Macaca fascicularis: one gene and its partners. The main gene of each other region encodes a partner of the protein of the gene in region 2 in a complex. Links are inferred from orthologs where the notes say so. Each region holds a gene or a part of one and is shown on either strand. Other genes may lie near its edges.

Region 1 (4,107 bases), about 63 Mb from region 2:
AGCCACCGCGCCCGGCCTAGCAACCAAATTCTTAACTAAAGTTCTCTGCAGGATAAGACTCATGATACTGGGATTATTTGTGCTCCCTTTATGCATCTGTGTTAAACCCCACATATTACAGCCTATAGTTAATGGTTAATAAACAATTAAATGGTGCATAAAATATTCAGAGAAGAGGGGCTCACTCCACAATTGGATCCTTGAGTCTCACCTTCTCTACATCTCCCAGACCCTCGGTGTCCAGCAGAACTAGGACGTGGCCTGGCTTCTTGGGATGGGGCACACACCACATCCAGATTCCTTTAGTGTGAGACTGCACTGTGGAGCCCAGAGAGAAGCCTGCAAGGGAGAGAGGAGACCAGAGATGAAGATCTAGTAACAGGCAGTTCTGGCAATTGAAGGAAAAGGTAACATATTTAAGGTTAAGAGAGAGAACCGAAACAACAATCACTATTCACCTTACTTACTTACAATCAAAGAAATAGGAAATTCGAATATCTAATGCATGGAAAAATTCAGGAGACTTTCATGATAAAAATAATCAACAAAGTAAAAATAGAAAGTACCTCAACATAATAAAGGCCATATATTAAAAATCCACAGCTCACTTCATATTTAATGGTGAAGCATCATAGCTTTTCCTATATCAGGAACAAGAAAGGGTGCCTACTTTTGTTAATTGTGTTCCACAGAACACTGCAAGTCCTATCCAGAGTAATTATACAAGAAAAGCATAAAGGAGGTACCCTAATTGGTAATGAAAAAGTAAAATTATCTCTGCTGATGATAATATGTAATTTGTAGAAAACATTAAATATTCCACAGAAAAAGATTAGAACTCTTAAAACAATTCACCAAAGTTGTAGCATACAAAGTCAATGTGGAGAAATCAGTTGCTAGTGTAAAAAATAGAATTAGAAAGGAAATTCTAATTTCCTTTCCAAACAAAAAGAAAAGGAAATTTTGAAAACAATCCCATTTAACAGCATTGAAAGAATACACTACCTAGGAATAAGTTTAACCAAGCAGGTGAAAGACTTGTAGAGTGAAAACTTCAAACATCCTTTAAAGAAATTATAGGTGACATAACTTATTAGAAAGACATCCTGTGTTTATGGATTGGAAGACTCAATATTCTTAAGATGTCACTACTACCCAAAGTGATGTGCAGGTTTGATGTAATCCCTACCAACATTCCAATTACTTTGTATAAATAGAAAATCCATCCTAACTTTCATATGAAATTTCCAGAGATCCCCTAATGATGAAAATAATCTTAAAAAGGAAGAGCAAAGTTAGAGTCTCACAGTTTCTGAGTTCTGAAACATATTACAAAACCATGTATGGTACCTGTATAAAGACTGACATATAAACCAATGGAATAGAAAAGACAGCCCATGAATAAACTCTGACACATATGGTCGATGATTTCCAGTACCAGTGTCAAGATCATTTAATGAAGAAAGGAGAGTCTCCTTAACAAATGATGTTGAGGAAATGAGATATCTCCTTAAAAAGTTGAGCTGTTGGCCGGGCACAGTTTCTCATGCCTGTAATCCTAGCACTTTGGGAGACTGAGGTGGGCGGATCACGAGGTCTGGAGATCGAGACCATCCTGGCTAACAAGGTGAAACCCCGTCTGTACTAAAAATACAAAAAATTAGCTGGGCATGGTGGCTGGCGCTTGTAGTCCCAGCTACTCGGGACGCTGAGGCAGGAGAATGGCGTGAACCTGGGAGGTGGAGCTTGCAGTGAGCCGAGATCATGCCACTGCACTCCTGCCTGGGCAACAGAGCAAGACTCTGTCTCAAAAAAAACAAAAAACAAAAAACAAAAAGTTGGGCTGTTACCTTATAACTTACAAATATGAACTCAAAATGCATCAAATAACTGAACATTAGAGTTAACATTATAAAAGTTGTAGAAGAAAACAAAGGGTAAAAGTTTTACATATTGGATTTGGTGATTTTTTTTTTAATAAGAAACCAAAACTATAGACAATAAAGGAAAACATAGATTAGTGGGACTTCAGCAAAATTTAAAACTTTTGTGTATTAACGGACACTACGGACAGAGTTAAAAAAGGCATCACATAGAATGTAAGAAAAGATTTGCTAAACATGTATATGATAAGGGATTGATATCTAGAAAATATAAAAAAATTTACAAAGCAACGCAAATAAAAACCAGATTAATAAATGAACAAAGGACTTGAATAGACATTCTCCCAAAGAAGATATTCAAGTTACCAATAAGCGCATGAAAATATGCTCAATATCACTAGTCATTAGGGAAATGAAAATCAAAACCACAACGAGATACTACTTAACATCCATTCATATGGGCACTATCAAAAAAAAAAAAAACACTGAAAATAAAAAATGTTGGTGAGGATGCAGAGAAATTAGAACCCTTGTACATTTCTGTTGGGAATGTAAAACAGTATAGTAATTGTGGAAAATGGTATAGTGATTTCTTAAAAAAAAAAAAGTTAACATGGAATGACTGCATGAGCCAGCAATTCCCCTTCCGGATATATTCCTAAAGGAAGTGATAGCAGGGACTTGAACAGATATTCAGACACCCATGTTCCTATTAGCCTTATTTATAACAGACAAAGGTGGAAGCAATCCAAGTGGCCATTGACAGATGAAGAGATAAACAAATTAGTATACACGTACAATTACTAAGCCTTAGAAAGGAAGAGTTTTGACATGTGCTAACACACTGATGAACCTTGAAGACATATGAATTGAAATAAGCCAGTCATAAAAGGACAAATATTGAATGATTCCACTTATATGAGGTTTCTGTAGTAGTCAAATTCATAGAGATAGAATGTAGAATGATGGCAAGCAATGGGTTTATGTGGAGCTTTTGTTTAATTAGTACAGAGTTTCTGTTAGGCAAGATGAAAGAGTTCTGGATATGGATGGAGGTGACAGTTGTATAATAGTGTGAATGTCATTAATGCCACAGAGCTGTACACTTAAAAATGGTTATGAGGCTAAATTTTATGTTTATTTTTTACAACAATAGAAAAGAATATCCAATACAGACTGAAACATTTTTTCAACCTTAAAGATCACTGTAAACTCTCTGATATTGCATAAAAATTATAATAAACATTGTATAGTTTATTATAGTTATTTTTCTGTACACTAATTATTTTTATTACCGTCTTACTCCTTTCAGGAAAGGCATTATTTGTGCTTTTGAAAGGGAAACTAAGGTATCATGGAATAATTAATGAATTGAATCTTATCCCCTGGAATAGCATGAAGATAAGGAGCCCGACTGTGAATGGAAAGTTAGCTTTCAGTAATCATCCTCATCTCTTTCTCTCCTCACACCCTTGTAATGGATGCTGACTGTGTAGATGGACAGAAGGGACTTGGCAGATCTTTGCTCATGCCACTCACCCTTTTTCTTTCCAGCCAGCTTGTTCATCAGGTAGGATTTCCCTGTGCGATAGAGGCCCACAATCGCCACCACCACCACAGGCTGTGTAATGGCAGACAGGATCTTCAGAGCTTCTGGATTCGCCATCAGTCGCCCATTAGTGTTCTCAATGAGGCACATTGGGCCTGTCATGTGGATCTCTGATGCCATGTCCAGGGTGTTCCCTTGTCTGCAAGAGAGGAGGTGAAATAAATGAAAATTTCTAGTGTTTTGCAACTATAAGGGATAATCATAAGATTTCCCAGTATGGCCAAAAGTTTTGTGTGTGACAGCGAGAGAGATGAGGCAAAATCTGTATCATTTGAGAAAGTTATGGAAGTATAGTCAAAGTAACTCATTACAAAAAATGTTAGCATGACAGTGACTTATCAACACTCAACTACTCTCACAACCCAAATATTTCATTTAATTTATTGTAGAAAACTTTCTTTTTGGATTCTTATTAAATATTTTCACTAGTCAATTAATGGAAGATAGAATAGGATTTAGAGGATTTATTTTGCATCCTAGCTATTTGTAAGGAATTCAATATTGATTTACTTATTAATTCTTACAGTGAATAGACATCCAACACAGTGAATCAGTGTTCATAGTTTGATGTTTACCCTTAGAATAATTTTCAAAGATTTTTAAATGTGTTCCTTC
Region 2 (3,569 bases):
CTCAGTTTCCCATTGGCTCGTCGGGTCCCCCGGGGTGGTACCCTGGGGCAGCTCCCTCCTGTGATTGGGTGGCAGAGCCTCGGGCCCCGCCTCCAGTCCTGGCTGTGAAGGCGAGACCGAGCAATGCGGCCGCAGGTTCCGGCGTGTTGCTGGCTGCAGAGAGCGGAGGCGGCTGGCTCGGCAGGCAATGCTCCCAGCGGCCATTCCCACCCAGCTCGTCCTTCCTCCCCACCAGCCCGTTTCCTTTTGTCTCCATTTCCGAACTCTTTGGGACGTGACCCTCTCCTAAGATCTGGGCTTTTATGGCGGCACTGCACCCCTGCCTCAAATCGTACTTCCCTCCGCTGAGATCTGAGCCCTTGATGAGACTGTGACCCGCCTGTAAATCGGGTGCTCAGTGCCGCTCACTACTGCAGCGCTGTCCTTAGATCTCATGCCGGAGACTTCACTATTTCCTGTCCCGCTCCACCTGAGCTCGTCAGCCTCCCGCGCTGCGGCTCCCACTCACCTCCCCTCGGCCCTGCAGAGGAGGCTCGGCGCCTCCTGTGGGTTCACCTGACCCTCCCGGTCCCATCCAGTTTGACTGGGGCCGCCCTGATGGAGACAGCCGGACCCCGGCCTCACCTGGACTCAAAGTCTTGCGTGCAGGTCACTGAGCCACCCAGGGAGGTCAGGGCCCTAACTCAGAGGTCGAAAGTCAGGATCTCTAAATCAGATTCCAGTTCCACTCCCAACCCATCGCCAAGAACTGGAAAGAGACAGGAGGAGTGTCACAGGGGAACTTTATTGAGAGGAAACATGGTCACACCCAGCAGACATGCTTTCCTTCAATGTCGGTCTTGCACTGGCGCGCGCGCGCACACACACACACACCCATCTCCGGCCCCTGCCACTGTCCAGTTCTCAGCCACAAGGCGGGACATTCCTCAATTCCTACGACCAGAGGCAGCAGGGGCAGGAGTGAGGCAAGAGGGAGGGGAGAAGTAGCCTGGTCCTGGGGTCGGGAGGAAGCGGTGCGGAGAGCAGGGCTGGGGTCATGACCAGTGGTTAGGTGCGCTCAACAGCTGCAAGAAGAGTGGGATCCCCAGCCCCAGGTGGCCTCAGCTCTGCCAGTCCCTCTCCACGGAGCCGTTTGGAGTAAGAACAGCGCCTGGGGGAGAAGGGTGGGGCCTCCCACCCCATATTAGTCCTCTCGGCAGGGTGGGGGACTGAAGGGGGCAGGGCAGGGTGGGGCGGTGGTGGGCAACACTCAGCTCTGGGGCTCCTGGGGAGCCTCGCCCCCCTCTTCCCCGGCGTTGTCGGCCGTCCACAGCGTCAGGTTGTCTCGCAGCAGCTGCATGATGAGGGTGCTGTCTTTGTAGGAGTCCTCGCTGAGGGTGTGCAGATCAGCCATGGCCTCATCGAAAGTGGTCTTGGCCAGCGAGATGGCCTCCTCGGGGCTGTTGGCGATCTCGTAGTGGAAGACGGAAAAGTTCAGGGCCAGGCCCAGGCGGATGGGATTGGTGGGCGGCATCTCCTTCTTGCTGATGTCCATGGCCTCCTGGTAGGCTGACCGGGCTGAGTCGATGATGCGCTTCTTGTCGTCACCAGTGGCCACCTCGGCCAAGTAGCGGTAGTAGTCGCCCTTCATCTTCAGGTAGAAGACCCTGCTCTCCGCGTCCCCAGCCTCCTTGATGAGATGGCTGTCCAGCAGGCCCAGCACGGTGTCGCACACGCCCCGGAGCTCAGTCTCCACCTTCTCCCGGTACTCACGCACCTCGGGGCCCTTCTCCTCCGAGCCCTCCTCATTGCTTTTCTGCTCAATACTGGACAGGACCCTCCAGGCAGCCCTCTGGCCGCCCACCACATTCTTGTAGGCTACTGAGAGCAGGTTTCGCTCTTCGCAGGAGAGCTCCTCACCTTTCTCCACGGCGCCCTTCATGAAGGCTGCCATGTCCTCATAACGTTCGGCCTGCTCTGCCAGCTTGGCCTTCTGGATCAGACTGGCTCTCTCCATGGCTCTGGGGACACACAGGCGGGCGGCGGGCTAACTGCTGCCTGGGACCAATGCCGGACTCTGTGCCTCTCCTGCTCTTGGCCTGCCTTTTGGCTGGGTGGCCAGGCCCAGAGAAGGGTGGGGAGGAGCAGGGGGCGGGACCAGGGCCCAAGACCTGCCTCCCTCTCCTCTCCTCCCCACACCCTTTCCGGCTCTGCAGTCAAGGTAAAAAGGCTGGGATGTGGGGGTGAGTCATCAGAACAGTCAGCAGAAGAAATCTGGGCGTGGGCCCCACCTGCACAGGCACCTTTCCAGGCTCTAGGCTGCCCCCTCTTGTTCGGGGCTGGCATCATATGGCTGCTCACATCAGGAAACTGCCTGGCTTCTCAAATCAGATCCTCCTTCACAGCGTCCTTACAGAGGCTAAGGGCGGCTTTAGCCCCTGGCTGCTTCTGCCTCGACAGAGCCCATAAAGGTTCAGGAGGATGGGGTTCCCAATCCTGCCAGGTAACTTCTCCCCTTGATTCAGGTGAGGATAACTTATGTTTAGGTAGGGCCATAGAGTTTCCCAAGCACTTTCATATTCACCATCGAATTTAATCCCCACTGTGTCTCTGTGACACACACAGGACCACAGAGATGGGAACACTAAGTCTCAGAGAGGGGTGAGATTTGCTCAAAGTCACATAGCCACCACTTCCCTGAAACTCCTTTCTGCACCCTGCTTCCTTTAGCTTTTCTCCCGTTGAAGTCTCTGACCTATGAGCTCCAGGCTGTGTTTGGAAGTGAGATCCAGGCTCTTTCTCAATCTACCTGAAGATGGTTCCATCCCTCAGGCCTCACTCCCCCTCAGGGTCCCCTCTGAGCTCCCAGAATGCGCAGGTGGCAGCTTTCAGAGTGCCACTTAATGAAGTGTTTAACAAGCAGCCTCTGACGCTCCAGCCCAGCCTTTGTAATTAGTCACCCAGTAGGTTTGTTGGACACATTTCCCATCACTACACAATTTTCCCTTTCAAGTTGGTGGCCTGTTGCCACTTGTTTGAGGATTTACCCTCTGGCCCTCCACACCAGGTCACTTGCCCTCTCCAAGCCACATGCCATCAGGTACCAGTGGGGTTCACAGAGGGTGGGGTCCAGCTCCCCGGCTGTCCCACTTTCCTGCCTGACTCAGACTGCTCTCTGTCTGAGGCTGGGAAGCAGTCCAGTTTGATCCCCCAGGGGGGACGCTAGCAACCTGGGGAGAGAGAGGACTGAGAAAGGGAGGTGGCAGTGACACATACCATTCTGTTTTATGGGGCAGCAATCCCAGCTACTCCCCCAGCCTGTCTCTCAGAAGTTTCCCTGTTCCTTCCTTTTTTTTTTTTTTAAATAGAGACAGGATCTCACTACATTGCCCAGGCAGGTCTCAAACTCCTGGGCTCAAGCAATTCTCCTGCCTCAGCCTCCCAAACTGCTGGGATTATGGGCATGAGCCACTTCCTTCCTTTTGACCATTACCCCACCTCTGACCCCTGGCAGAGTCCTCAGATGGAGACCTCTGTTGCCAACCTTCTTTCCCTGCTTGCTGGGGCCCTGGCCTCAAGTTTCATCAGGA
Region 3 (4,107 bases), on a different chromosome or scaffold from region 2:
TGGCCAGTTAGCTTACATAATCCATTTATATAGATTATGTGTGCTTCTCTGCAAAACCTAATGAGCCATTTGTAAAAGTGATGGATTTTGCGGTGTCCGGGGAGAGAATTTGTATGTTCGTGTCCTTCAGCACACATTTATTATAGTTATTAAAAGGTTTTATTGATGATAGACAGTAATGTCATGTAAAAATGACATTATTTATTTGTAGATTTTCCTATTCTCTTGTTGGACATGTAATTAGAAAGTAATATGACTTAAAGAAAAACAAATACACAAAATTTATTCATCCAGTTAATCTCTTAATCGAGGTTTTTTTTTTTTTTTTCTGAGACTATACCCATACTTCAAAAACTTTGTTGTTACTGAGAATATTTTGATAATTTCCCTTTTCGTCATTGCTGTCAGATAATGTATCATATCTTTAAAAAGACTTGTTGGAGGACGAGTTTGTTTTGAAAAGGCCTGAATTTAGTTGATGCAAAGTCACAGATAAGATGGCTCATTAAGCTGTATTAATACTGCTTTTGTCTAATAGATATCATTACCAATAAATCAGACCAGATTTCCTTTTGGCACTTGTAAATCAACTTTGAAGACAACTTTTTACAAGGAAGTAAAACAAATGCTTTGAGAAATACCAGTATTAGTGAAAGAAAAGTATATATTGCTAATGGATGCAGCATTCTGGCATAATGGTTTGAAAACTCATTTGATTGCTTTGTAGAAGAGTGACTCTTTCGGAGGACCCAGGGCCTGTGGGCCTGCCAGAACTTGAAAATTCTTTCTTCCCTGAGGTGCTTCAACCTGAATTCAAAGAGCAGCTTTTAATCTATTAGAGATCTTTTTTTGTCCTCTCATTTATTTTTCATCTTTCCCTTTGATCTTAGCTCTTCTCTAATCTTTTTCTGTCTCAACCTTATTAACATGTGTCTGTGCAGACACTTTAAGTTTTATTTTTTTGACTCAGCCTGTCAGTGAACTGATTATCATGCTGAAAGGAGAAGCAGGACAATACAGAGTTGAATGCCGACAATACTCCTTTTAATCTTGTTCAGCCCATTAGCAGAGCAGGCATCCCTTTAGGCTTTGAGACCTAGTCCCCTAAAACTCATCCCGTTTCTACTTGATTTGCTTTCTTTGAGAACTCTTGTTTACTTTTATATGGAGGTTTCCCTCCTTGGATTAAAACATAAACCTCAATCTGAAGTTCCATTTCATCTTAATTTATGAACAACTCTGAGAGGGAACATGAAAAGTGGAGATTAGTGAAATTATCTCCAATTCTCTGGGTCAAAAGATACACGAAAACAGTCTCTTGAGTAACCATTTACAGGTAAATACAGAAGTAATGGTTATGGTTGTCTCCTTAAGGTTTTAGTCACAAATGAAAAAGACCAAGTTAATTTTTTGTCTCTGTGTGCTGAATTTCTGTTTGTAGTAAGTGTAAGAATTTAAGCAGAAATGCTGTTTCTTATTTTCAGGTGAAAAGAATATGTAATTTCCATAGGCCCAGAAATAGGGAGAGTTTGCCATCTGGTGGTTCTTAAAGGCATTGCGGATGTTATTAAGAGTTGCTTTTCTATTTAAAATTATATTTTAAAAAATGTTTGGAAGATACTTTTATTATAGAAACTATCCTCTTAAGCCCATTCTTTAAAAAATCTTCTTTTATGCATTTCTCATTTTGTAGACAGTGATTAGATTCTAAAAGCAACAGAACAATGATCATCCTCTCCTAGCAGAATCACTGGTGTTTAGATGATTTCTCATTTTCCCAAATACTCCATGAACAACATAGCTTGAGTGGGATCTTATGTCTCCAGGTTTCACTGTTGATATATGCATCCCATCAATATAACATTTTACAAATAACAAGCACAAAATTTAATGTTTTACCTTGAATATTTAAAATATAATATCCAAAAGCTCTTGTAATTTGTACTGATATCTTATGCTAGCGTGTCTGTTTCACATTAAGTTTAATGTCTTAAGATATAAAAAATCTTTCTTATGGTTAGTGATTTATCTTGATTTTTGCCATGGAATTTCTGTGTAGCAAGATAAACATTTCCATACCATTTTATTTGATATTTCCTAATTTGCCTCTGGATCAACAGTTTTCCTATTTTAATTTCATTGTACTTATTCCTTACAATCTAAATAGCTTTTTATTATATTTTGATTTTATTTAAAAATGTACTTCTGAATAACATATCTGTTTCTGTAAAAACTGTTAGCACTGAATTTGCCAACCATTTGACACATACACGAATAAAATAGATTTTTACGGCTTGTCATTTGTAATTTCATAGATCCGAGATCAGCCTGTTGTTGGACAGCTGATTCCAGACTGCTATGTAGAACTTGAGAAAATCATTTTATCGGAGCGTAAAAATGTGCCAATTGAATTTCCTGTAATTGACCAGAAACGATTATTACAACTAGTGAGAGAAAATCAGTTGCAGTTAGATGAAAATGAGCTTCCTCACGCAGTTCACTTTCTAAATGAATCAGGTTTGTGTGTTTCTTTCCTTACTTTCAAAGCTCAGCTGTAATAACTTATAAAAGTGTTTCTGAATCTTGTATAGAATTTACATTCAAAGCTGAGAGAATATCCATACAGTTCTTTAATAGGGCACTGATTTTTTTCTTTTTGGAGGATCATCATGTGTGTGGATGATAAATCATGTATCATGTTGTAAGAAAACAAATTTAGAAATCACCTAGGAGTAAAGTAGTGGAAAGATTCCCTGAGTGGGAGTTAAAATATTTGGGTTCTAGAACTTACTTGTACTATTCAGGAGCTGTGGAACCCCAAGCACAACCATATCCTTCCATAATGTCAAATGAGTTTAGTGCATGTGAAACTTATTTTTATATTGCAAAGGGGAATTATTGTTGGAATGGTCTAACTGGGACGCTTTGAGAATCAATGGCTCCCTGAGATGATGCAGCTGCTGAGTGGAAGATCTAGCTCTCTTTCATCAAATATTGGTCTCAAAGATGAAAATTCTCAAACCAACTTCAGTGCTAATTGTGTACTTGATCATATTACTTTGCCAGAAATGTGTGAGTTGTTTGATAGTACTAGAGTAAGTGACTGGGAAGCTGCTTTTGATCCCTAGATTCTGTTGTGTGAAAAATAGCTTCCTGTGGTTTATGATCTGTTCCTTTTCCCCATTGTTCTTAAGGTATGCTGAAATATGCTGTGTTTCTTATCTGTATTTGAAAATAAAACATGTCTTTGTAGTGTTTATTCAGCAAGCAAAACAGAAAATTATGAATTTCTATGTATGCATGAAATATGCTTTGTAATGCATGTCAGTGTCTCAAATATGTTTATATATGATTGTTTTATGTAGTTTAAAAATACTCCATTATAATATTGGGACTTTAGACCATAGGATGCACAGCTTCTAGTCCCAGCTCTGCCACTAGGTATGCTGAAATTTCTTTACCTGTAAAATGAGGAAGTTGGACTAGATTCTTTCTAAAGCCCCTTGATAGTTGTTCTACATTCCATGTTTCACTGTTTGATGAATTTTTACTACAGGAGTCCTTCTTCATTTTCAAGACCCAGCACTGCAGTTAAGTGACTTGTATTTTGTGGAACCCAAGTGGCTTTGTAAAATCATGGCACAGGTTGGTGTCTTTTATTTTTGTGGCACGGGGTTATGGTCAAAGCATAGAACAGATGGCGCCCAGAGCATTGAGCATTTTAGAGTTTGGGTTTAGTTAAGGCAGAAACTTTTGTGAATTTAGAAGACTGTGGAACATTTCACATAGAAGACTACTTGAAGAACTTCATGGAAGAAGGAAAGATGTCTTGAGTTCACTTCCATGACTTGGTTTTCCAGCCACATACAGATGTTTGTAACACTCTGTCCCATGCTGCTTTACTAGATCCTGATGATGTCATCGATTTGGTTACTGAATTAGTCAATTGAACGAAGGCTTTGTGGAAATCCTTGGGGTAAACACATAGAAGAAAATTGGGTTGCTGAGCCTGTGAAACCTCTATCTAGATAACATGGAGGGGAGTTTTGACTTAAGTGAAATGATCTGAACTTTAAATGCTTATGATTTTGAAAACTTTGGATGGCG
Region 4 (4,107 bases), on a different chromosome or scaffold from region 2:
CATAATATCTTTTCCAGCATTTATAAACATTATTAATAAATTAGGGTGACAAAGTAGACATTTAAGTAATGATATCTGTTATAAATCAGTTCAAAGAGGGTACAGTAATCAATGCAATTCCTACATCTTTTTTTTTTTGGTCTAAAGGAGGAGAGGAAAAAAACCTACCACAAAAGGGTCCTAGGAAATAAACAAAATAGATTCTAATACTGTAATTTTCAGAAATATGATTTTTAGTGGGAGATCTATAAATTTAGCTCATTTTCTCATTTAGCTATTAAAAAATGAATAATTTAGTTTAAGATTCTAAATAGTCCCCATTTAAAATCAGAAGGACATTTTTGAGATAATTATATCAATGTAGTATGATAAACTAAAAAAGACTATAATGGCTATAAGTTCACAATAAAGCAGTAGCCAACATTTATTGAGCCCTTACTTTGTGCTAGGTAATGTACATATATTGACTTTCAAACCTCAAAACAGCCCCAGGAGTACGTACTATCAGTAGCCCCATTTTACTCTTGAGGAAAATAAGGGGCAGAAGGATAAAGTTACACAAGGAGGTTAAAGTTGCCCAGGGTCAGCAATTAGTAAAGCCAGGATTTGAACCTAGCCTTACCAACTAGGGGTGACCACAGAAAGACAGAAGGTGTAAATTCAGCTGGAGGGACCAAGGGAGTGAAAGAACAGGAAGTGCCTGCCTGGCCTCATTACTAGACACTTCATGTACGATTTCAGTTAAGTCTTAGGACAACCCTGTAAGGCAGAAATCAGTATTTCATTTTAAAAATTCACTCTTTTGAAATGATTTTTCAGCTTGAATGTTAAAGTACATACCGGTATAGATCTGATTCAAGTAAAGTGAGTTGTCGAGCAATTTCTATTGGGTGTAAGGTGAGCAGGTCGAAAGTCTCTATGTGCCCAGGTCTGCTTATATGCCACTCAACTGTGGGAGGTGAACTCTGAAATGTAATATTATGACCTGGTCCATTGTCTCTTGCAATTTTTTTCCTTTGGATTATTTTAGTGATGGATTCAACCCATTTTTTCATTGCTTTACCTGCAATACATTATATTTTAAATAACATTTAAATATTCTTTATTTAATATTTTTAAAATGGTTTAAAATCACACAGATGATACCTGAACGTATCTTTGCTATAAAAAGTTCAAATGATCAAAATGAAAAATACAAGTTCCCTTTTTCCATTTCCCGGCCCCCATCCTAATCTTACTACTCTTCTCCACATGGGTAACCACTGTTAGTAGCCTGGCACGTGTTCTTCCAGATCCTTTCCAAATAAAATTAGAAAGTACTTAATTTGTAGAGACTGTCCACCCCATTGTTCTGATCTTCAGTTTAATGTATTATTTTATAATCCTCCAAAAGGTATATCTTATGTAAATCACAAGATTTATAAGGATAGATTATACACACTATTAATCTAATTCACATTGCATTTTATAAATCAATAAATATCAGTGCCAGAGGACTGATTCCTTCATTTTTAGTGTGAGTTTTGATGTGGCTCTGTTTTGTATTGTACATTTAAAGTACTATTATTTAACTATTTTCTGATTATCATTTAGAGCATACAAAGGAAATAAAAATAAGTTTGTCTAAGACATCCTTAGAGCTATACACTCATATAATCTTTAAAACTAGAAGGAAAACCTTGGAGATCAACAAACCTAGCTCCTCATGTTATTGATAAGAAAACTGAAGTCTAAAGAATCTAAGTGATTTTGCCCAAAGTCACATATCTGATCAGTGGTAGTGTTAGACACAAACTCTCAATTTAATCCACTCTGCTTCCTCTCTGATTCTCTCTATTCACCTGTGGCCCACTCGACCTCCATCAGTGGTGTTATAATGGCACAACGTAATTCCCAAACGCCCTCATACTTTGGGATATGTATGAAGACTTGGCTTAACCAACTCTTAAAATAATCAGTAAGTTGATTCAGTAAATGAAAATACATTGGATCAACAGGGTGACTGTTGAGCAATTTGCAGGTCTAAATGTTGTTTGATGAAAATTTTTAACTTTTTCAAATGGTTATGCTGGTACTATTACAAACATCTCGTATTACTGAACCACAATAACATCAATTGATAGTCACCGTGTTGGTACTTTTATTACATATAAAACTAAGCACCTAAAAAAAAAAACATACCTCTTACTGTTCCAATAAATTCTTCCATTCGTTGCAAAAGATATGCATCTCTTTCAAAATCATAGAAGTGGTGCTCTACCCAGTGCCGACATACATTTAATACTCTACAGCATTAACACAGAATTGAATTACATGGGAATCAAACATAAATGTTTATCACAATGCATGGTACAATACAAATGAAAACACGGTAACTCTTACCAAGTTATTCTTATCAGGGTGCCTAACACTTCCAAAATTCTACATTAAGACTTACACTATAATTTCTGATAACTGCTCTAATTAGTAAATTTAATTTATTAATTTTATTGTCACCCCGCTCCTTGTTTGGGAAAGGTCCTTATATACTTCAACACTAAAATGAAAGTTTGATAAAGACTTATTTGCTTCATTTATTTAATGCTTACCGCAGTTGCACAGGCTGTATATATTCTTTTCTAAATCTTTTCAGTTCTGCACTCAAGGGTTGATCTCCATTCTCTATAGCTATGCGATCAGCTTCTGTTGGCTCAGGCTCTGGAATTTCAAACCTAACATAAAATAGAACAAATTAATGAAAATACTAATTATATCGAGTTATACAAATAGAAAACCACAAATGTTTCCACCTGTCAGCAAAATCAAGAGAATACTGTAAAAAATTACTAAAAATATGCATGTCAGTGTAAATAAGTGAGACTTCTATAATATTAAAGGTTAATAAAATTATTTTTAAAATTTTAAAATAAATTAGTACTTGCCAATATAGATAAAACTAACTACAAACAGAATAAAGAATACATGCAAATTCTAAAAATAAATGTGACTATAAAGTTATGGGACTGATATTCATTTTTGGTCTGTGGAATTACTCTAAATCAGGTGACATAATCACTGTTAAGGGTAATTCCAGAAAAACTGACTGCTCTTTGTTTGGGTACATGAAATATTTTCCTTCCATCACAGTATTTGTTCACTGACAAGCTCCATTTTACTCAACATGAAGTATGTTTGAAAACTTACTTAGAACATCTAACTCATCAAAATTTGAATTTCTCAACTCTAAATTATAAATTTTATATAGATCGTTCTGTAAATTTGAAATTTCAAATACCGAGTTTTCACATACAAAAAATAATTTTTGTATTGAAATAATAAAAGCTAACAAAATAAATGTTCATTTAAGAGATTTTATTTATTGAAAAAGTGCTCGTGAAGTATATTTTAAAGCTCATCTAACATTTCTGAAAAACATAAGATCTTAGCTTAATCTCTTTTTTAACAAAAAATAATGAATTTAAATATTTTTTAAATGGACAGACCTTTCTATTATAAGACTCAGTAGTTCTTGAGGTTTGCAAAAGGATCTGTATGTTGTAAGAAATGTCCGAACAAAATTGGGATCTAAGAAGAAAAAGGAAAAATATCTTATTAAACTCTGTGATTCAAAATGATTAAAACTATTATTTACATTTTCAAAATAGATCAAATAGTCAAGTTTAAAAGTTCCAAAATGTTTTGACAAACAGACTGGGCTTGGTAATGCACTGCTAGCTTAGTGCCTCCTAAATTAGTGGTGAAAACATTGATATTAAAACTTTACATCAACTTATTTCTTGCCCTCTGCACACTGACAAGATGATCTTAAACTCATCGGCCATAGGAATGAGCAAGAAAGAAAAGCAAAGGTAAAGCAGGGAACCAGGCTCCCCTCCCACCTGCTACCAGGATCTCAAAGCATCACCAGTTGGTTTATCTCCCTTATAAAGAGAAAGGCCACAGCAATAACCCATTACTTTTCCTTTCATCAAGATTAGTTTATCTAGGATTACTTGTCTAGCTTTCTTTAAATCATGTTAACAGAGCATACAACTGGAAACTGGAATTTATAAAGTAGTAGCTTAAGTTAAATACAGTTTTTAAATTATTTGCTAAAAATCTCACAAC
Region 5 (3,861 bases), on a different chromosome or scaffold from region 2:
GGGGAGAGAGTCCTCTATTTTACGGTAAGTTCTATGCTTACTGTACATCTCCCAGGTCATTGGGAAACTTGTATTATGTTGTACTATGTTATTTAAAGATGCTACTACCATATGCAAGACAATTTCTGTTTTGCTTTTTTTAATCCTTCCAATTGTTGCAAAAGCTGTGTGCTGGGTCATCCCCACAACCGCTGTGAACAAGGACATGGACATGCCTTGCGAGGTGGCATGAGTTAAAGACCAAGGCTCAGAACCCCACAGGGCAGAGAGGCAAACTAGGCTCGTATTAGCATTAAACCTGTGACTTGAGACTGCATCATATTGCTTCATTCTTAAATACTTGAAGACTTCCGTATTTTCTACAAGTTAATCTTAGGCAGTATCAGGGCTCTTTTTCGTATATGATCAAATCACTTAATCTAATTATGCCCCATTTTTTTTTCTTGTGATTTGAAAGCATCATGAAAACCTTTTATATATGCAGGTTTATCTGTTACTACTATGAAGAATTAAAAAATTCCAAAGCCTTCTCATTTAGAAAATGTTAGGCATTTTGATTCTGTAATCACCTATGTTAAAGAACAAAGCTAAACAGCGAAATCAGGAAGCAGGTAATAGAAGACAGATCACATTTAGACAAAGACATGGTTACTTTTTTATTTGAAGAAAAAAAAAGTATGTTTTAATAAATACTGCAGAAACATTGACCAAATAAACATACAAAGTGACTTCAACAGTTTAAAAAATGCAACAAAAGTTCTGCTTTATAACAGTTATAACTTATTTTCTTTTTACAATATTTAAATACAGAAAGCACTCGCCAGCTATTTTGTAATACTGCCCAAAGCATAATGCTGCATCAATCAAAGCATATTATGTTGGTAGAATGTCTGTATTTTATGGGAAATGACTGGAATCGTATTTTCTTGCAGAGACAAAACAAAGTGCTTGTAAGACATAGAACTGAGTGTTGTAATTACCTTAATCTCTCCTGCCACAATTTAAGGGGAGCACAGCTTCAACACTTCAAAAACGAAGCATTATCATGGGAAAGAAAGCTCGTTTTCAACAAGCGCCAACAATAAACAGGTCAGATCTGGTTTCTTCTCTGAAATAATCTCTAAAATGAACTGGTCAAAAATATCTGTAAACTATTTTAAATGCTTTTATTTTACGTAACAACAGCGACCAAGTGCTGAACATGGACCTTGGCTGCGTCTGCTCAGTGAGGTTTTAGCAATCACGCTCTAGAAATGCCCTGGTGTTGTGTCAGGACTGAAACTCTATTATATAATCTTCCACTAGGGATTCTCTAAAGCTTGGGTAAGTGAATTCTTCTCTCATCAATGTTCATTTAATGAAAGTGAAATAAACCAACAGATCATCAGATGCTGCCAGTTTTGGAGCTCCAACCCAAAATAATAGTCCTTTTGCTTTGTATTTTTGGTAACTTAATTCCAGACAGCTTTACTCACAAACTGTGCTTTCCGCTACTATTCTTTCCTTCACTCATTACCTCTTCTGGTGAAAACAGTAACTACCTTTTTTCTCTCCTTGGATCATTCTATGACGTCAAACCAAGACACCTTTTATTTGACTTTGCATTTTTATCAACGATGGCAAAAAAATCACACAACTTCTTTTCTAAACAGCGCACAAAAATATTACATTGAGCAATTTACCACTTTTTAATGACAATCACAATGAAGAACAGAACCATCAGACTGAATAAAAATCGACACTTTTTTTTCCTATTTGATCTATGCGATCTTTGTAGTGCTGGTCTACAAATCTTGCAAGATTGCAAAGGCTTTCCTTAGAACCATCCTACTCAGCTATCTTCAGGAAGGCAAGATTTCAACGCCTCATAAAGTTTTCCTCTGGATATATCCCCATGGGTCCTGATACAATTTCCATTTTAATGATGAGCTAGAAAGAAATTAGATCACATCCTCTAGAAAACTAAATGCTAAAGTCACAGTGCCAGTTCCCCAGTGAGGACGGTATATTAACATATACTTTTTGTAAAGGAGAGTAAAACATTTAAAAATTAAATCAAAGTAGAGATCCATGAATAGATTGTAACAAAAACAAACAAAAAAAAAACCCAACAAAAATGCAAGCACCATTCAGAGTGTGATTTTTCTTCTTGGAGGTACTCGCATCCCCCCTCATCTTCCTCTAGCTCATTTGTATCTCCATTTTTTGGCATATTTTTCAAGTCACACTTCAAAACTCTTCCACGTATTCAATTCTCACCACTTGGTCTACATGCCGAATCTAAGGACAGGATTCCAAAAAGATGAGTATCCTCTCAAACGCCTCCGAAGCCTCTGGTATACATGACTTTAGCTGTGCACTTCATTTAGACTTCACCTTTTTGTTTGCTGTTGTTTTTTACACTAGATTCCTTTGTCCTCATTAAAGATAATGAAAGATTCACATCACAGTGCAGCTCTTCGCTTTGTCCTTTCGTAAGTCCGTAGCAACTGCCGAGAGTTCTGGTCTGCTAGGCATGTGTGAAATCCGTTTTGTGGCTCTCTGTGATTTGTTCCGCTTAACGTTTTTATTTGTCTTATTTACACATGCCAAGGTGGCAACGTGAAAAATGTCTCTGACACTATTTTCCGACTGTAAAGCTGAGCATTCGATATAAGTAGCTGCTCCAATCTGTTTGGCCATATTTGCCCCCTGAGAAGCAAAAGAAGGGATTTTAATCAGCAATAAGACTTTGGGAGAAAGTTAGCTAGTGTCTTCTAATACCACAAAATAATAATGCATTGCAAAACGTTTACTGATATGTTAACTGAATTTTCCAAGTGTCACTGCAAAAATAAAAGTTGTTAAAATTTGAACTGCCTTATTTATTACTTCATAAATATTGGCAGTCAAGAGCCAATCGCTAAGATGTCCAACTCTCATGGCTCATTAGAGGTGTTAGAGCTCTGAATAAATGCTAAAGGCTGATCTTAACAAATGAGGACATTCATTATCAAACACTTAATATGAGGTGATTCAAAGAGGTGTAGAGTGGAGCTAACGAGGTGATTCATCTTCACTATCAACTGCAAGCAAGAGTTAACTGGTTACTCAGGCTTTCCAGGGTCACAGCAAGCATGGAATGGCCCAGAGAATCTTACTGGTGAAGTAAGTTAGCTGAAGGTCATGAACATAAACTCCACATTTTCCACACAGCTCTGGCTGTGGCGATGTGGCTTTGAGAACCTGTTCCAGCGTCTCCTGGGGGACTCCATTTCTCTTTTCTTGAGGGTAAATGGCATTCAAGACTAGTGACTAGGTTGTACCGAAAACGAGGGTAATGAATGAAATTTAAAATTGATTTTGAAATGTACGTGATTGTGTCTTACTTAGGGCCAAAATAAGTTGAGGAAAGGAATAATACTATTGTGACATCTGTTATATCAAACACAAAATACGTAATTTCTAAGTGTGAACCATACCACCAATATACGCAACAATAAACATGTGCACATCAACCAAAACTACTTATTTAAAATACCAAATTTTTGCTAATGAGAAATGGAAGACTAAGAAGACTGCAGTATTTAAAATGATGATTCTTAATACAATTTTGGTATTTCAACATGAACTCTCTTTAGATTCTGGTTGTAGGTTTTACGAGAATGAGCTTTTGAAATTGATTCTCATTTCTAAATACTTGGGGGAAATGCCTATAGAAATGAAGACTCTCTGAAAGATGGTGTTACGGAGTGCTCCAGTTTACTGGAAACAGCCTTATTATTGCACTGCCGACTGTAAAATCAGATTACCTCTCTTAAAGAGTATTACTGATTTTGACCACATTCTCTGTTAAACCTACTGAACTTTAAACCTACTTGG
Region 6 (4,107 bases), on a different chromosome or scaffold from region 2:
GGGAGGATCACTTGAGGTCAGGTGTTCAAGACCAGCCTGGCTAACATGGCAAAACCCCCTCTCTACTAAAAATACAAAAATTTGCTGGGCATGGTGGCATGAGCCTGTAATCCCAGCTACTCGGGAGGCTGAGGCACAAGAATCGCTTGAACCTGGGAGGCAGAGGTTGCAGTGAGCCAAGATGGAGCCATTACACTCCAGCCTGGGTGACAGAGTAAGACTCTGTCTCAAAAGAAAAAAAAAAAAAAGCTTTACAAGATATGATGCCTGAGATTTTCTTTAAAATAACACACTGGGCATAGTGGCACACACCTGTAATCCCAGCACTTTGGGAAGCTGAGGTGGGAGGATCTCTTGAGCCCAGGAGTTCTAGACCAGCCTGGACAATACAGGGGGGCCCTGTCTCTTCAAAAAATAAATAAAAAAAATAGCCAGGCATAGGGCTGCGTGCCTGTGGTCTCAGCTACTCGGGAGGCTGAGGTGGGAGGATCACTTGAGCCTGGGAGGTTGAGGCTGCAGTGAGCTGTGATTGTGCCACTGCACTCCAGCCTGGGCAACAGAGTGAGACTCCTTCTCAAAAAAAGAAAAGAGAAAAATAAAAGAAGATGACTGGCCAAGAGTTGATAAGTCGATGACATCAGTGATGGTGACTTGGGAGTTTTTTTGCTGAACTACTTTCTCTACTAGTGTGTGCATGGTTGAAATGTCCTCTAGTAAATAGTTTTATTTTTTATTTTTATTTTTTATTGTTTTTTTGAGATGGAGTCTTGCTCTGTTGCCCAGACTAGAGTGGCATGATCTTGGCTCACTGCAAGCTCTGCCTCCCAGATTCATGCCATTCTTCTGCCTTAGCCTCCCTGGTAGCTGGGACTACAGGCGCCCACCACCACACCTGGCTAATTTTTTTTGTATTTTAGTAGAGACGGGGTTTCACCATGTTAGCCAGGATGGTCTTGATCTCCTGACCTCGTGATCTGCCCGCCTCGGCCTCCCAAAGTGCTGGGATTACCGGTGTGAGCCACCACACCCGGCCTAGCAAATAGTTTTAAAATGCATTGTGTGAAAAATAAATAGACCCGAATAACTCAAAGTTCTTCTCTCCCCTGAGAGGGTCCCAGCATTCACTGCTTTCTTGGGAGCCCCTGGTTCCCTGGCCAGGTACTGTCTTGGGCCCTGCCCTCACTGGAGGCCACACCAGCTGTACAAAAGGAGACCAGGAAGATCCCTCAGAAACCACCCAGACCTTCCAGGCACGGTGGCTCATGCCTGTAATCCCAGCACTTTGGGAGGCCAAGGCAAGGGGATGACTTGAACTCCGGAGTTTGGGACCAGCCTGGGCAACACGGTGAAACCCCATCTCTACCAAAAATCCAAAAAAAAAAAAAAAAAAAAAAAAAAAATTAGTCGGGTGTGGTGGTGCACACCTGTAGTCCCAGCTACTCGGGGGGCTGAGGTGGGAGGATCACTTGAGTCTGGGAGGCAAGAGGTTAGCATCACTGCACTCCAACCTGGGTGATAGAGTCAGACACCATCTCAAAAAAAAAAAAAAAGAAATCACCCAGACTATCTGCTCCCCCAGAGGGGCCTGGGATAGGCTCATTGGCCTTTCTCACAGGGACCCTGCCCGTCCACCCTACCTGGGGAGGGGCTCGCCCCACCTGAGATGTCCATGAAGTCATCCAGGCTTGGCTGCAGTGGCGTCAGGTCCGGCTGGATCATGTCAGCATTGCCGACGTAGGCTAGAGGCAGCAGTGGTGACATCAGCAGTAGCAGGCAGGGAGGAGTGGGGGTCTCCAACCCCATCCCCAGCCATCCCTCCCTTGGCCTCCTGGAATCTCACAGGCCTTCACCCCTCTCCCCTGCCCCTTCTCAAACCCTCACCATCCTCAGGCGGCAGCTGCAGGGGCGAAGGGCCAGACTGAGTCATGGTGAAGAGAGTGTCCGAGATGTCGGACAAAAAGCAATTGAGGTCCAGGAGCTGCCGCCCACCCGGCTCCTCCTCTGGGTCCCCCAGCAGCACGGGGACCACACTGGAGAAGAGCTGTTTGCACCATTGCTCCGGCGGCGGCCACCCGCCTTCCGCCTAGGGAGACAGAGCCGTCAGCAGCCGCTGAAGAGCTCCCACTGCCCCCGAACTTCCATATCACCCCTCTCCAGGGTCAAGGGGTCAGCAGGACAGAGGGTCTGTCTGTGCACACCTCTGTCACCTTTCCCTAGCGGTCCTGGCTAGCTGCTTGAAAGGCCAGGATCACTCCATTGGCCTCTAAGAACTTCCCCCAGGAGACAGACCAGGATGCAGATACAGGAGTCCCCCTCCTGCCCTTTAGATTTTTTCCTGTCTGGGACCCCAGTTCTTTGGTCCCTCTGTTTTGTTTTTGTTTGTTTTCTTTTTCTTTTTCTTTTTTTTTTTTTTGAGACGGAGTCTCTGTTGCCCAGGCTGGAGTGCAGTGGCGTGATCTCAGCTCACTGCAAACTCCACCTCCCAGGTTCAAATGATTCTCCTGCCTCAGCCTCCCGAGTAGCTGAGATTGCAGACATGCGCCACCATGCCCGGCTAATTTTTGTTTTTTTAGTGGAGATGGGGTTTCACCATGTTGGCCAGGCTGGTCTCGAACTCCTGACCTCAGGTGATCCACCCGCCTCGGCCTCCCAAAGTGCCGGGATGACAGACATGAGTCACCGCGCCCGGCCTGGTCCGTCTGTTCTCCCATACCTCCCACCACTTGCTCAATGACCTGGGGTCTTCTCACCACCGCACCCCCATCCCCCAAAAAGAAAAGAGCTCAACAAATGAACCACAGGACGGCAGTCACGTCCCACATCCCACCCTCACGCCCAGCCACTGTCCTGCTCACGCAGGCGGAAGCTTTCAACTCTCTGCCTCCTACTTGGGGGGCGAAGAGATGGGCTTCCCTGCTGGACTTACAGAGCACCCACCTGCTTAGGGGCCAGGAGGTCCTCTTCCCTGCTGGACTTACGGAGCTGCAGGGACACACAGAGCTGGACACCGGATCCCTTGCCCACCCTCCATCACTTCCCCCCAAAAGTCTCCCCTACTCACAAGCAGTGAGATCCCCCATTTCCCATTAGGAGCTCCCCCGAACCCCAGGTAAGGAGGCTGTTAGGAGGCCCTGTGGCCACACGGTGGCGCTGTCGGCTCGGGACTGAATGGAGGGCCCGAGGGGCGCAAGCTGGGGGGTCAGGATCCCCTTTCCGGGGATCTTCCAAGGCGGGCAGTAGCCGGCAGCCGCAGGTGAAAGCTCTGGGGCCTCCCTGGGCCCTGCCACTGACCCGCTTCTTGTAGTAGATGCGCCACTTGTGGTATTCCCGCATCACCACCTCGATGCGCCGCTTCCAGTAGTTCCCCTCCAGGACCACGGCCTGGGGTGGGGGCCGGGGGAGGGGGATCAGTAGGGAGGGGAGCACCGCACACCCATCTCCCACCCCTCACCCCATCCCTGTCTGCCCAGCGCAAGGCTACAGGAGGTAGGGGCTGGTCTTGTGGGTGGGCAGGCGAGCAGGTGGGCAGGCGGTCCAGAACCCAGCTACCTCCGGCTTCCGGTGCGCATCAGCCTCAGGCCCCTGCAGGGGGGTCACGAAGCCACACACGGGGCTCTTCCTCCGCTCCACATCTGAGAGAAGGGGGCCAGGTTAGGGGCACCCAGCTTCCTCATCCCCCACCTCATCCCAGGGGACTGGGACTCAAGTGACACCCTACGAAATCCTGCTTGGCCTTGGACGTTCAGATTAAGTGCCCATGCTGCCTCCTCCAGGAAGTCTTTTCGGAGGATGCGGATGCGATAACCTCCTAGATCTTTTTTTGTTTTTTTTTTTTTGAGATGGAGTTTCACTCTTGTTGCCCACGCTGGAGTGCAGTGGCGCGATCTCGGCTCACTGCAACCTCCGCCTCCCGGGTTCAAGCGATTCTCCTGCCTCAGCCTCCTGAGTAGCTGGGACTACAGGCACCCACCACCAGGCCCAGCTAATTTTTGTATTTTTAGTAGAGACGGGATTTCACCATGTTGGCCAGGCTGGTCTTGAACTGCTGATCTCAGGTGATCCACCTGCCTCAGCCTTCCAAAGTGCTGGGATTAGAGGCTTGAACCA
Region 7 (4,107 bases), on a different chromosome or scaffold from region 2:
ATGCACATTTCCCGCTGCTTCCCAAAGGTATTCCAAGATGGAGTCACTGACAGTGAGAAGAGGTAGTTGAGGATACTGCTGCAATCCACCTCTCCCCCGACTGCAGCATAGTACTTTGGGTTTCTCATGTTATTCCCTTGGAGATGATAGTCAAAAATGCCTTTTAAGACATATGCTTAGAATTTGACACACAAAACAAGTTATTTCAAAGTAGTCACCAGAAATTCAAAGCATTCAACCTGTCAACAAAGATCCTTCCTCACTTTGCAAATGATTGGCAATTTGAGACTGGAGCCCCAGCCAGTGAATCTGTGCTGTAGAAGAAATAAACACTAAGCTGATTGGTCTTAATAAATGCAAGCAAGCTATGTTCATGGCTACACACAGACCATGAAAGTCTGCATATAGCACCTCACGCAAGTCTCCATCAAGGCCTCTGATGGTCTAACTCCCTAAGAGAGAGGAAGTTGTGCATCACTCAGTTAATGTACTCTCCCAGCATCTGAAAGCAATATATTAATTATCCAAATGCATAAATTATTCCAGAGCATATATATGAATGTATGAACCTCCAGGAGGGAACCAAAAGAATCCGTTTCCAAAGCACCACTGAAATGAAGACAAACACAATTCCCTGGGGCAGGGTAGATGGGAAATTGGAAGAAAAAATTAGCTCCAGCACCCTTCTGCACCCCAAAACTCCCTACCTTTTTTCCAGCTTACATAGCTCCTGAAACTATTCCCTTTTATAAGCCTGAGGTGAGAGCTTTCTCCGGCTGCTGCACAGGATAGTAACTATACAAGACAGCACACACTCAATTCTCTCCAGCTTCCCACTTCCAAACTACGTATTACACACTGTCTTCCACACATACTGTGCTCTTCAGTTAAAAATGATCTAGAATATGGAAATTTTAAACAAATTTAAGCACATTGAAAACACTGATGTATGCCCACCCGTTAACAGTCCCAGTATTTGTATAAATTCAAACAATAAGCTTTAGAGCACATTCTGATTAATCTGTCTTTAGAGGTACTCCCTAAGCATACCAGAATAGACTGGTGGTTCACATGGTATTACTCAAGTAGTACATTGTTCCAACAAAAAGTCCTGTTAAAAAACATCCCCTCCCCCCAACCCTTGTCCTCACCCCCAAAACAAGAACCAATAAAAGGGGGAAATGATTAAAAGCATTTTTGCTGAGAATCTGCAGCTCTTGAATTGGCCGTTTAGATGAGATATTCCACCATCTCTGCATCAGGCTCTTGTCCCAGGATCTGAATGGGAGTTTTTCTTTCCAGAGTATTGGAGTGGAACACAGGCCCATCTAAATGGAAATAAGGGTTAGAAAACACTTAGGGATGAAGAAAAAACCTGTATTTCTAGAACTAGACACCATCAGAGCCCTCATGAAGCCAATGGCAAAGTGAGACTTGTCACCTCCCTCATTTACTTCTGCTAAGATAATGGCCTCCACTCATGCCTGTTCCCATCTTGGTGGATGAGAAGTCATTTACAGACTCTCTTCTCTCTCCCTTAGAACATGAAAAATTCAGTCCAAAGGATAACTCTGCCCAGACATCAGGCAACAAGAAATAAATCTGTATTTGAGAGCAGAACTAAACCAAAAGTTACCTGCTAAAGGGAATAATTACCTGCTTTGTCTGGATTGCAGGTCAAACTTGGTATAGACAAACGATGTGGTCCAGGACCGGTAGCTGGACTTGCAGGAACCTCAGCCTGAGCCACAGCTGGAGTTGGAGTTGGAGCTGGAGTTGGAGCTGCAGCCGTAGCTGAAGTTGGTGCCTGAGTCTGAGCAGGAGCAGAAGCCTGAGCCGCTGCTGAAGCCGGAACTGGAACCAGAGCCGGAGCTGGAACCGGAGCCGGAGCAGCTGGAGCAACCTGAACAGCAGCAGCAGCAGCAGCAGCAGCAGCAGCAGCAGCAGCAGCAGCAGCAGCAGGAGGAGGAGGAGGAGGAGGAGGAGGAGGAGGAGGAGCAACGGCAGCAGCTGAGGCAACAGAGGCAGCAGCTGGAATCTGACCAGCAGCAGCTGGAGAAACAGCAGCAGCAATAGCAGCAGCGGTGGCTGGAGACGGGGCAGCAGCAACAGCAGCAGCAGCAGCTGGAGCAGCAGCAACAGCAACTGGAGTAGCAGCTACCATGGTGGTGGTGATAGTGGCAGCAGTGGCGGTGATGGCGGCAGCAGTGGCGGCGGCAGCAACTGGAGCAGCAACAGAGATGGGAGCAACAGTTGCAGTTTTGTTCGATTCCGTCCCACGTTCAGTTTGGGTACTGCAGTCTCGGCTGCCTGTCTTGGAGTGAGCCGAGGGCAGGGGAGTCGAGGGGGGCACAGGCGAGGGTGTGGAAGGGACATATTCAGCACGGTAGTCTCCACCCAAGAGAATGCCTACAAATGAAAGGGGAACAGACATTAGAAAAAAATAGGTGATTCAAATCCAGACATCTAATTACCTGTTCTCCCATTCAAATTTCAGAAGAAATTTGAATGTGTCTAAATTATTTATTTTTGCCTCCAGGGAACCCAGAAATCAGTGTGTGAGGCTCCTCCAACCATGGCTAAAAGTTTCTTACAGACTTCGAAGATCCCTCTGGTCCTCATCCATCACCTGGCACAACATATTAAGCCTGTAAGTGACCTGGGTATCTGTTTTGATTTATTTTTCCAATGGTGATTGGGTTCCACCAAGTTGTCAGAATGCTCCTACTCGGCTCCACTTATAAACCATTACCACACATTACCAGGGAGCAAGAAAGGATTTGGAGAATAAGTCTATTGACACAGATTAAGTGTGGTAATAATTGTGTGATCTAAGGTTCTCACCATGACCATAGTCTCCAAAATGCTTATTCTAACCAAAAGATATTATAAGTATCAGAGGACCAAGAAAGGAATTAAAAGCAACAAAAAGGGTTAAAATAAAAATACATATAAGCTTCCTTCCTCAGGCTCTAAAAATGTGCCCGTGGTATCCACAATATGTCTGGGGTTTTGATTAGAGGGGAGGGAATGGACAGGAATGGAATGAAAAAGTACATTCTGTTCTCATCTCAGAACACTGTGGGAACAAAACCTGCTACCCAAACGATTTAGCGTAACTAAAACTCTGGGTTCTCCTATTATACAGGAGGAAGGAACACAGAAATGCTGGAATTTTGAAATTCTGAATGACAAAAAGGCCACATGGGTTCTGGAGAAAGATAAAGGTGCCACATGGCAAAGGTCAAATGTGAGAATATTTTAGAGGAAATTAGAGTTACCTTCCTTCACACCCAAATGAAACTCAAGATTCTTGTCCTCTAGGCTTTGGCCTCAATCAGTATTCTCACCAGGAGACTTCAAAGTGTGGAGGAGCTCCAGAATGTGGAACTAGGGTCTCAGGAGGAATATGAACCCAAAACCCTGGTACACCTTCCTCTCCAGAACCTGGACCATCATCCCTTTTCCTTAAGCATGGGTGCTTGTCTCATGGCTCTCTTTGAACACATGACTATAATCTTCCTTATTTACTGTCATTACCTAGGCTCCCCTTCCAGCTCTTGTCATCTCGCTTTTCTTCCATGATGGGGGTGCCAGTCAGGGTGGATGAGTGGGAGAGCAAGCCTGATCCAGCATTGGAAATGGACATCAGAGACTTCGCTGGCCGCATGCACGACAGCTGCTCTGTCTTGCTCGGCTCCTTCCGGGAACGCTGTTGGAGTACTTTGATCATGGCATCCTTCTCAATAATCTGGGCATGTAGGGTCTTAATCCTAGGAACCAAAGACAAAGAACATATAAAGACCTTGTTGCGGCCAGGAGCGGTAGCTCATACCTGTAATCCTAGCACTTTGGGAGGCCAAGGCGGGTGGATCACAAAGTCAGGAGTTCAAGACCAGCCTGACCAACATGGTGAAACCCTGTCTGTACTAAAAATACAAAATTTAGCTGGGCATGGTGGCGGGCACCTGTAGTCCCAGCTACTCAGGAGGCTGAGGCAGGAGAATCACTTTAACTTGGGAGGCAGAGGTTGCAGTGAGCCAAGATAGTGCCACTGCACTCCAGCCTGGGTGACAGAGCAAGACTGACTCCATCTCAAAAAAAAAA

Evidence for each region.
Region 1: the proteins of SFN (region 2) and GBP1 are in contact, whole or in part, in a cryo-EM structure (PDB 8Q4L), measured with the Homo sapiens proteins. The link is inferred for Macaca fascicularis from reciprocal best matches to the Homo sapiens genes SFN and GBP1. Residues at the interface, in NP_006133.1 of Homo sapiens: Glu14, Gln15, Ala16, Glu17; in NP_002044.2 of Homo sapiens: Lys210, Gly211, Thr212, Ser213.
Region 3: the proteins of SFN (region 2) and LRRK2 are in contact, whole or in part, in a crystal structure (PDB 5MYC), measured with the Homo sapiens proteins. The link is inferred for Macaca fascicularis from reciprocal best matches to the Homo sapiens genes SFN and LRRK2. Residues at the interface, in NP_006133.1 of Homo sapiens: Lys11, Glu14, Glu39, Asn42, Leu43, Ser45, Val46, Lys49, Asn50, Arg56, Arg60, Phe119, Lys122, Arg129, Tyr130, Pro167, Ile168, Gly171, Leu174, Asn175, Val178, Tyr181, Glu182, Asp215, Leu218, Ile219, Leu222, Asp225, Asn226, Leu229; in NP_940980.4 of Homo sapiens: Lys907, Ser908, Asn909, Ser910, Ile911, Ser912, Val913, Gly914, Glu915, Phe916, Tyr917, Arg918.
Region 4: the proteins of SFN (region 2) and SOS1 are in contact, whole or in part, in a crystal structure (PDB 6Y44), measured with the Homo sapiens proteins. The link is inferred for Macaca fascicularis from reciprocal best matches to the Homo sapiens genes SFN and SOS1. Residues at the interface, in NP_006133.1 of Homo sapiens: Glu14, Asn42, Ser45, Val46, Lys49, Arg56, Phe119, Lys122, Arg129, Tyr130, Pro167, Ile168, Gly171, Leu174, Asn175, Val178, Glu182, Leu218, Ile219, Leu222, Asp225, Asn226, Leu229, Trp230; in NP_005624.2 of Homo sapiens: Arg1158, Pro1159, Glu1160, Ser1161, Ala1162, Pro1163, Ala1164, Glu1165, Ser1166.
Region 5: the proteins of SFN (region 2) and RND3 are in contact, whole or in part, in a crystal structure (PDB 7OBC), measured with the Homo sapiens proteins. The link is inferred for Macaca fascicularis from reciprocal best matches to the Homo sapiens genes SFN and RND3. Residues at the interface, in NP_006133.1 of Homo sapiens: Lys49, Arg56, Arg60, Lys122, Asp126, Arg129, Tyr130, Glu133, Gly171, Leu174, Asn175, Val178, Glu182, Ile219, Leu222, Asp225, Asn226, Leu229, Trp230; in NP_001241667.1 of Homo sapiens: Asp236, Lys237, Ala238, Lys239, Ser240, Cys241.
Region 6: the proteins of SFN (region 2) and MLXIPL are in contact, whole or in part, in a crystal structure (PDB 8BTQ), measured with the Homo sapiens proteins. The link is inferred for Macaca fascicularis from reciprocal best matches to the Homo sapiens genes SFN and MLXIPL. Residues at the interface, in NP_006133.1 of Homo sapiens: Gly53, Arg56, Ala57, Arg60, Gln67, Arg129, Val178, Tyr181, Glu182, Lys214, Thr217, Leu218, Gln221, Leu222, Arg224, Asp225, Asn226, Leu229, Trp230; in NP_116569.1 of Homo sapiens: Arg117, Ile120, Arg121, Asn124, Trp127, Arg128, Ala129, Trp130, Tyr131, Ile132, Tyr134.
Region 7: the proteins of SFN (region 2) and AMOT are in contact, whole or in part, in a crystal structure (PDB 7NPB), measured with the Homo sapiens proteins. The link is inferred for Macaca fascicularis from reciprocal best matches to the Homo sapiens genes SFN and AMOT. Residues at the interface, in NP_006133.1 of Homo sapiens: Val46, Lys49, Asn50, Arg56, Arg60, Lys122, Arg129, Tyr130, Gly171, Leu174, Asn175, Val178, Tyr181, Glu182, Asp215, Leu222, Asp225, Asn226, Leu229, Trp230; in NP_001106962.1 of Homo sapiens: Val171, Arg172, Ser173, Leu174, Ser175, Glu176, Arg177, Leu178, Met179.

What each region holds. Positions count from the first base shown.
Region 1 is NC_088375.1:145,612,932-145,617,038, reverse strand, and holds part of GBP1 (guanylate-binding protein 1), read right to left. Parts: intron 3,632-4,107; 5' UTR 3,613-3,631; coding exon 3,423-3,612; intron 340-3,422; coding exon 212-339; intron 1-211.
Region 2 is NC_088375.1:208,247,394-208,250,962, forward strand, and holds SFN (14-3-3 protein sigma), read right to left. Parts: upstream 2,061-3,569; 5' UTR 1,997-2,060; coding exon 1,250-1,996; 3' UTR 766-1,249; downstream 1-765. UniProt on the Homo sapiens protein: Adapter protein implicated in the regulation of a large spectrum of both general and specialized signaling pathways. Binds to a large number of partners, usually by recognition of a phosphoserine or phosphothreonine motif.
Region 3 is NC_088385.1:46,793,657-46,797,763, forward strand, and holds part of LRRK2 (leucine-rich repeat serine/threonine-protein kinase 2), read left to right. Parts: intron 1-2,315; coding exon 2,316-2,517; intron 2,518-3,556; coding exon 3,557-3,645; intron 3,646-4,107. UniProt on the Homo sapiens protein: Serine/threonine-protein kinase which phosphorylates a broad range of proteins involved in multiple processes such as neuronal plasticity, innate immunity, autophagy, and vesicle trafficking.
Region 4 is NC_088387.1:83,154,968-83,159,074, reverse strand, and holds part of SOS1 (son of sevenless homolog 1), read right to left. Parts: intron 3,565-4,107; coding exon 3,483-3,564; intron 2,712-3,482; coding exon 2,589-2,711; intron 2,286-2,588; coding exon 2,182-2,285; intron 1,064-2,181; coding exon 841-1,063; intron 1-840.
Region 5 is NC_088386.1:46,018,442-46,022,302, forward strand, and holds the end of RND3 (rho-related GTP-binding protein RhoE), read right to left. Parts: intron 2,692-3,861; coding exon 2,440-2,691; 3' UTR 632-2,439; downstream 1-631. UniProt on the Homo sapiens protein: Binds GTP but lacks intrinsic GTPase activity and is resistant to Rho-specific GTPase-activating proteins.
Region 6 is NC_088377.1:52,471,057-52,475,163, forward strand, and holds part of MLXIPL (carbohydrate-responsive element-binding protein), read right to left. Parts: intron 3,633-4,107; coding exon 3,550-3,632; intron 3,382-3,549; coding exon 3,292-3,381; exon of another isoform or gene 3,062-3,291; intron 2,983-3,061; coding exon 2,938-2,982; intron 2,084-2,937; coding exon 1,882-2,083; intron 1,740-1,881; coding exon 1,659-1,739; intron 1,509-1,658; coding exon 1,425-1,508; intron 1-1,424. UniProt on the Homo sapiens protein: Binds DNA as a heterodimer with MLX/TCFL4 and activates transcription. Binds to the canonical E box sequence 5'-CACGTG-3'. Plays a role in transcriptional activation of glycolytic target genes. Involved in glucose-responsive gene regulation.
Region 7 is NC_088395.1:119,286,885-119,290,991, forward strand, and holds part of AMOT (angiomotin), read right to left. Parts: intron 3,774-4,107; coding exon 3,541-3,773; intron 2,410-3,540; coding exon 1,657-2,409; intron 1,329-1,656; coding exon 1,231-1,328; 3' UTR 1-1,230.